Schizosaccharomyces pombe: one gene and its partner. Changing the gene in region 1 together with any one later gene gives a genetic interaction. Each region holds a gene or a part of one and is shown on either strand. Other genes may lie near its edges.

The links.
Region 2: of alp1 (region 1) and alp21, extra expression of one rescues a mutant of the other (dosage rescue), as found in Schizosaccharomyces pombe (one study listed by BioGRID).

What each region holds. Positions count from the first base shown.
Region 1 is NC_003423.3:3,355,340-3,359,271, reverse strand, and holds the start of alp1 (tubulin-specific chaperone cofactor D Alp1), read left to right. Parts: upstream 1-2,224; 5' UTR 2,225-2,546; coding exon 2,547-2,693; intron 2,694-2,737; coding exon 2,738-3,826; intron 3,827-3,870; coding exon 3,871-3,932. Other genes in the region: knh1 (KRE9-like protein), read right to left, coding at 639-1,493. UniProt on the Schizosaccharomyces pombe protein: Has a function in the folding of beta-tubulin. Microtubule-associated protein that is essential to direct polarized cell growth and to position the nucleus and septum to the center of the cell during mitosis.
Region 2 is NC_003424.3:2,388,262-2,392,193, reverse strand, and holds alp21 (tubulin-specific chaperone cofactor E), read right to left. Parts: upstream 2,259-3,932; 5' UTR 2,109-2,258; coding exon 1,954-2,108; exon of another isoform or gene 1,916-1,953; coding exon 1,647-1,915; exon of another isoform or gene 1,605-1,646; coding exon 1,505-1,604; exon of another isoform or gene 1,459-1,504; coding exon 1,183-1,458; intron 1,140-1,182; coding exon 404-1,139; 3' UTR 251-403; downstream 1-250. Other genes in the region: protein Cbp8, read right to left, coding at 2,521-3,932.

The DNA of each region.
Region 1 (3,932 bases):
TTTTCTGCACTTCTGCTGCATTTTACAGGTTTGATGAAGAATACCTCTATAGTATATCACAATATTTTATTTAATGTTATGATTTAATTGAACATTACTTGTAATGCTTTTGCAATATTAACTTAGTGAATTTAGTAATTGATTCCGACTATTTGGGCGTTCTGGCATAGCACTGTCATCACACAATTTATTTATTTGTCGCGATTACTTAATTAAACAATGCGTTCAAACAAGTATAATTTACAAAATAAATTCTAAATAAAACCATAATTATTTATTAAATGTAGAAAATGATAACTAAAGAAAAGGGTTTAACCGAGAGTTCTTTTTGCCTAAATATGTAAAAGAACGAATGAAAAGGGAGAAAGGAAAGTAAAAATTGAACGAATGAAGAAATAACTCATGCACTTGAAGATGCTTTTACGTGAAATTAACTCCACAGAAACAGCATAATGGTAAATATGAAAAAAAACATGACTTTAGATAACAAATAACCAAAATATTTTGTTTTCTTTGACGAACGACTCAATGTATTTGAGCTAAAGGAAGCAGACAAAAATGCACACAGTAATATCCTAGTGTGCTAATGAAAAATCTAAATGACATGAAAGGCTTTGGCCTTAAAAAAAATTAACAATTTAGGAATATAACAACCCACGTTTGTGTTCACCTAAACGCATCCCACGTTTCGGAGCAGCTTGAGCCCAGCTGTCTCGTCTCCTTAAACCAGCAGTTGGAGTTGCGATTATAGTAGGCTTAGAGGCCGTACTAGCATAATTAGCATACAACGTATACATGTACGTTGGAGATGCAAAGACAGTCGAGGTGGCAATGGGAGGACCTGCAAACGTGGTAAATACGGAATAAGAGGAAGTTTCCCATAGCGGTTGTATGTCGGTCGTAGCAGCAGTAAAAGTAGAATCTGGTCGATTTTGAATAGGTCCTGTACGGAGAACACCGGTAGTTTGAGATAGATACCAATCTCGCATTGTACCTGTAGGCCATACACCAAGAAAAGTGCTAAAACCAGTAAGGGTAGGAACATAAGGATACACACCAAGAGCCATCAAAGACGCATAAATTTCGTAATTATCAAAAGTTCCTGTTAGACCATTAACAGTGAAAAAGTCAGTATAGTCATTAACTATACCACCAGCATATGTAGATTGTGCCCAAAGAAAGTAAAGACGTCCAGCTGGTCCAAAAACCTGAGAAATAGCGAAGGGTCCAGCTTGGGATATAGAAGAAGGACTAGGGGACGTATACAAGACTGCACAAGGTTGAGGAGCATCCATGCTACCACTACATATATAAAAAACTGTGTTGGTTATGTCCTCAAGAGGTATTCCCGTATTAGATTCTTCCCATGAAAACGAAATAGCGGTAAAATCCATACTATCTGTTGTCGCCGGAGTGACGAATCGAATTTGCGCACATACATAATGTATGTATGAGCAGACTAGCAATACTAGCATCAACATGGTGGTTTTCATTAAATTCGACGGCTTGAAGAGACTTTGCAAATTTAGTGGTAAGCGATATATATAAATCGTTGCTCTGACAACAGGGATGTATATCGAAACACCTTATTTGACATGTGTAAACAAATAATCGAGAAAAGTTGGTTTATTGTAAGCTAATAAAAGTGATTTTTTTATTTTTTTTTATTTTTTATTTCATGCAATAAATTTCGGCTTAACTCAAAAATATATATCACGAACAAGCTGGATATAGTTAACACTGAATATGTTTTAACCTGAAACCTCTAATTCAAATTCTCTTCAGTTTAGCAAGTACTTACAATTGCTCTGTAAATTTATGCCGACTAGTTTAAAGGCCAACATCTTGGGAAAATTATTGTAACGTTTGAGAATCTTTAAGTAAAGATCTATTTAAACGATACTGCTATACATTTGTAATATCAAATGCTAGTCTTGTACCAAAAGAATGAATAACATGCGAACTTACTGAATCTATGTCGTGAATATTATGTCTACTCTATGAAATAATTGCGTTAGAGCTGTCAATATATAGGCCCTTTACTACCAGATATGCTTACTGTCTGGCTGTATTCCTAATTCATTCGCAGAAATAATATATCATTTACAAATATCACAGTGGTTGCTCCAAAAGCATTCTTAATAACTGCTCACGTTTAGATTTGAGATTTGAAATATCAGTAGTGGGTACAGATTACACCACCACAATAATTTACCTTTTTATTATCCCACTTTTCATAATGTTTTTCAATATCAAAGCTTGTGAAATTTAATCGTTAATAAATCTTACAGGTCTAAAATTATTCAAACTTGTTTTATTTTCTTATTGGTATCATTTGCAACCTCATGAGTGACAAAGGAGGAAATTGTCCAAGGCAATACAGAAAATTAGGGACCAAGTTTTTTTTTTAGGACGAAAGAAATTCTAAAAGAAAGGAGATTAACATATTTTTTCGCTTTATTCGTTTTTCATAATTTATTCAACACGCGTTAATTGCTTAAAGTCGTTACAGTCAAAAATAATCATAGCATAAATTTTAAACAAAAATGGAAGAAGAAGAATCTTTAGAAGGAATTATTTCTATAGATGAGTCTTTGATAACCTCACGTTTATCGCAAATTCTCGATGATGTTTTAGACGATAGAAGTTCTTCACATTCTGTGGAAAAACTTAAAGACGTCGCTGTTAAATATGTATGTTTAAAAAGATATTGTGACCTTTCTAATTAAAATTCTAGTTGCAATTTTGTCAATTTCAGCCGACATTGCTCGATAAACTACTGAGTAAATACGTTCCAAACTTGGCTAGCTATTTACTGAAAGTGAAAAATATCGGAAAATGTAACTCAATTACCGTTATCCTTTACCAGTTTTGTAAAATAAGAGGATATAAAGCTGTTCGCGTCCTCTTTCCTGTTGGCGTTCAATATATTAAGGAATTATATACATTATTAAATGAATCATCAAATAATACCTGGCATTTTCACTACATAGTTTTACTGTGGCTTTCTCAAGCACTCAATACCCCATTCCCGTTAAATTCATTAGATGATTCCTTGGATGTGAAGAAGACCATTTACACTATAGCAATTAAATACTTAGAAAATTCGGGAATAGACAAAGAAGCTTCTTGTCTTGTTTTGTCCCGATTATTCTCTCGTGATGACGGTTTGGATTTACTTCTAGGCTTTCTACACCACTGTGAGAGTAGTTGGTTTAAGAGAAGTATCTTTTACAAAATTGGGTGTCTTTTTTCCTTATCTTCTTTTCTTAAAATTTGTCCGAGAAATGATTGTCTTCAAACAGTTGATGTTGCGTTTCAGTTTCTGAATGTAGCACGAGAAGATTTAGTTGGACAAGAAAATTCAGCGTTGAGGAAATTATTATGCAAATGTTATACAAGATTGGGAATTGTATTGCTGCCTGTAAATTCATCCCCTAATTGGAAATACTCGATCAGTAACCCAGATAGTTTCTTTCAATTACCTGATGACTCTAACGAAGAAGTACATATATATCTGGAGGTTATTGTTGATTTTTTATTGTCATCTGTAAGCGACATAGACAGTTTTGTACGCTGGTCTGCAGCCAAAGGGCTAGCCAAGATCATAAGTCGTTTGCCCTGGAATTTGGCTGAGCAAGTTATCGATGCCATTATTGAATTGATGACAGAAAATATGTTTTTAAACCCCATAGAAAACACTGTAAACATATCAATTACTTCTCCACTGGTTTGGCACGGAGCTATACTTTTCTTCGCAAAACTAGCAGGTGCAGGTTTAATTAAGTATAGTAAATGTTTACATATTCTTCCATTGATCGAAGTAGTAAGTACACTTTGTTTTCTTATATCATTCTAATCCTTATTTAGGGCTTATCATACGAAGTAAGATATGGAACTAGAGTAACAGGACAAAGCATCAGAGATGCCTC
Region 2 (3,932 bases), on another chromosome or scaffold:
CATTTGGTCTTTGAACTTGCTTTGTTGCAACTATGTAATCAAGGATTCCCTATTATCACCAGTTCCCTGATCTTAGTTGACCGTGGTGGATTAGTTTGTCACACTTGACGTGTATTTTTTTTTTCTATTGGTTCAAGGTTTTGGCTTTGGTTTTCTTTGTTTCTTAATAATTTTATAATTGTGTCGAACCGATTAAATAACTTAGAGGCACTTTTCATATATGGTATATACATGGAATTAGTATATTTAAAGAGTTATTGAATATTAAATATAAAAAACTTCTAATGACTAATCGCGTAAACTATAATACTAGAAAAGAGTTCGCTAAAAAGATTTTTCTGTATTTTAAAAGAAGCCGTAAAACTAGAGCATCGATTTTGGTCCTTCAAGTAATAACTTGGCTTTAGACGTTTCCACTTTCCTTTGCATATACATCGATAAAAGTACAAGTAAAAGGGAGTTCAAAGAGACGCTTTTGGTCGTCTCTGACAGTCTTTGGAGAGAAGCTTACATCTCGTTCGCTTGAAGCAAAGACAAAAGTAGACGTATGTACTGGAATTGCGAAGTGGTATGAAATTAAAGCTTTTATATCTAACAGTTTCCAATTATAATGGAGCTTTAATAACATTGTCGCACCTGAGTTAATTGACGATATTTTGATGCCCTTTGTTATGCGATTTTTAAGAATGCCAGACGTCCAGTCATTGATTGAAGCTTCCAAATGGAATTGAATGCTTGGCAACTCGTGAGATTTCCATATTTCCTCCCAGAATGGCTCTATTTTCGTAAGCTCTTCAACATCCTTAATTTCATTATCAATCACAAGCTTCCGGATGCATGAAGTGTAGTACAACTCAGCATCCAAACGCTCATTAGGTGATATATTCACATCATTCAATTTTACAAGAGAAGGAATTCGCGCAATCACCAGCAGTTTAGCTATATCAGTAGGTTTATTAAAATAAGAAAGTGTTATACGCAGGTGCTTTAAGTTTTCTAATGTACGAAGATGATCCAGAGAACGAATATCCCTAATGTTGTTTTCTGATATGTCAAGGAATGTCAATTTGTGTAAAGTGTGTACAGGTAGTTCTGCAACATCAGCGAGGGAGGTAGAAGATAAATTCAAATTGTTAATTCTTTAGATTAGAAACCTAATTCGTATTTCTCAAATATACTTACCCTTGGAACACATCAACTGCATAGCCATCAGCACTATAAAGATTGAGATTATTTGCAAGACTTAACGTTTGAAGGAACTGCAGATTTTTAAAAGATGTTGCTTTTGATAAAATTATTTCATTTGCTTCAAGGTAAAGTACTTCCAAACTGGGAAAAGTCTCTGTAATCCATTGAACATCTTTACTGTTTAGGCCACATCCATTCACTGAAAGTTGTGTTAAATGAGGAATTAAAAGAACGGTATTTGAGCTAATAAAATTTGAAAATAAGTTTGAACTGAAAGAGTTAGAATATACGTGTAGAGATAAACAAAAACACATGCTCTAGAGTTAAATTTCTTAATGAAGGAAGCTGGGAACACAATTTAAGGATTGGAAAAAATTCATGAAACAAATTTCTCGATAAATCTAAGTCGATAACTTCTACAAATTCCGTTAACATTTAGTTGAAAATAAGTGACATACCAGGTAGTATTTTAGAATACTCGTACTCTATTTCAATATCTTCAATCCTATAATTGTCTAGAATAATAACGCGCAAGCTTTTTAAATCTCTTTGCTTGCTTTGGATTTTTTCGAAACCACAGAATTCTACCTGTTTTCCACTTTTAAATTCAACAGAGGAAGGTAGGGGACTTGAATATGAATATTTTTCGTAAAGTGCTTCCAAAAATGTTCTGCATGGATCAAAAGGGAATCCTTTGTCTACAAATATTTTTCCTTCTTTTACAATTCTAATAGTTTAGTTTCTTGTCGTCAATAACAATCTTACAATGGTTTTTTGTTTCTCCAACACGTTTTAACAAACTGTTTTGCATTTACGTTTTTATCAAGTATGACTTGGTATCGATCATTGTTTCCTTCGATGGTTAATGTTACTAAAGTATTAGATATAGAAGCCCTAACCATTCCAGTGGATATATGCATTATTAATCAACGTGGGAAAGAAAATGGATTGCTATAAAAATTTGGGCAGTTTAAGTTTTTTGTTTCTTTCAAATTTTGTCTTTTATCTACAACAAAAAGTTTTAACCGCACTTTTTCTTTGCGACATAGAAGTGTTCAGTACGTAGTGATAATATAGATGGCATCAGATTTGTTAGGAAAATAGTTGGAAATACTGCTTATTATTATACGGGTTTTGATTCTAATGTCGATCTCATTTTTAAATGTGCTGCTTTATTAAGTCTCTCAATGTTAATGTAAATAATCTATTGTTGGCTGCATACCTCGTAAAGTACAACTTGATACCAATGAATATATTAATTATCAAACAATGCGTTTAAATGTATCAAGCACCAAGCACGATGTAGATTGGAAGCAGCACTATCGAGAATTATCACTTTTTTAAATGAACTGTACATAAAGGAAATGTTGCTTTTTGGGGGCGAGAACTCCATCCTGGGAGAATTCGCAATTGTTGATCTGCAACCCATTTGAGACTTCTAAAATTTACCTCGTGAATGGCAAAAAATTCGATCTCTCGGAGAACTTTGTCATTTGATAACAAAGGAAAAGAAATTATCTTTAAAAAACGAATTGCGAATTCAGTTCCCATTTTTTTGCTCAATATCGAAATCAGAGTTCTGGTCCAGTCGCTGCTATTACGGAAACAATCAACAATGTAATCAAACTGAAGCCCAGATAACCGTATATACTTTAAAGCATAACTTAATTTATTTTTTTTTAAACAATAACAAAAAAATCTGGGCAGGTTTTTTGGCATTATTTCGATTCCTCGTTTTCTGTAAAAGTCTTTTACTTCGAAGGAATTCACACCTTGTAGTAATAATAAATTAATCTTATAACGACTAACTTCGTTTAAATTTTTCTTTTTGTTTATATAATAAATACAGGCATTCAAAAAACCTTGATTCTCTTGCATTTCACCAAACATCTTCAAAAGAGAGAAAATAAAATTTTCCGGAATTTGGCCTTTATGCTCTTCCCAATTTTGATTTATTTCTTGAAAAATTAAACGATCTTTAAAGACGACAACGTAATTAGCGAGTACATTTAGCAGGCTATAGCAATTTAACAAAAAAAGCTGACGAATAGGTAAAACATGCTCCAGTAGTTTTTTGCAATCTTCTTTCTTTCTTAATAAAATAAAACGAGAAAGAAAAATTGCTTGTACGTCAGCCAAATCAGATAAATTGTAGTGATCTCGTATAATATGTAAATATGCGGAATAGACCTCCATAGAGCCTTCTACTATATTGGAAAAATTTTTGAAAAAAGAAACAAAAAACTCAATTTTTACCGGCCATCCCTTATTAAATGAGTGAATGAGCCACATTTTAAGAGAGCAGCTATTTTTAGCCGAAAGGAGAGATATAAAGACTTTATCCAGAAACTGTTCAGATGGAGTTATCCTTTCATTATCAATATGCTCCATAAGCTGAAAAAACGCACGTAAACGTAAAAAAATTTCAGCCTTCTCCATCTTCGAAAAAGCAATAGACGGTGGTAGCATAGAATTAGCTAACATGCAATGGCTCGAATTTCCATGGAAAAGACTGTAATCTCTAATGAGAAGCAAGAAAAGTGTGCGGAAATCATTAAAAGTTTTTGAATTAAGTGAAGAGCGAATATTAGCGCTTTTCAGCAGTTTTTCAACTTTGTGGTACGGTCCATCTTTTCGAAAATATATAGAAGAGAATGAACTGTCATATTTAAACAGATCAATTGTTTGCAAAATTATTTTTAAAGAAGATTTTAAGTCAGTTCTACTCAAATTTACAGTAGATA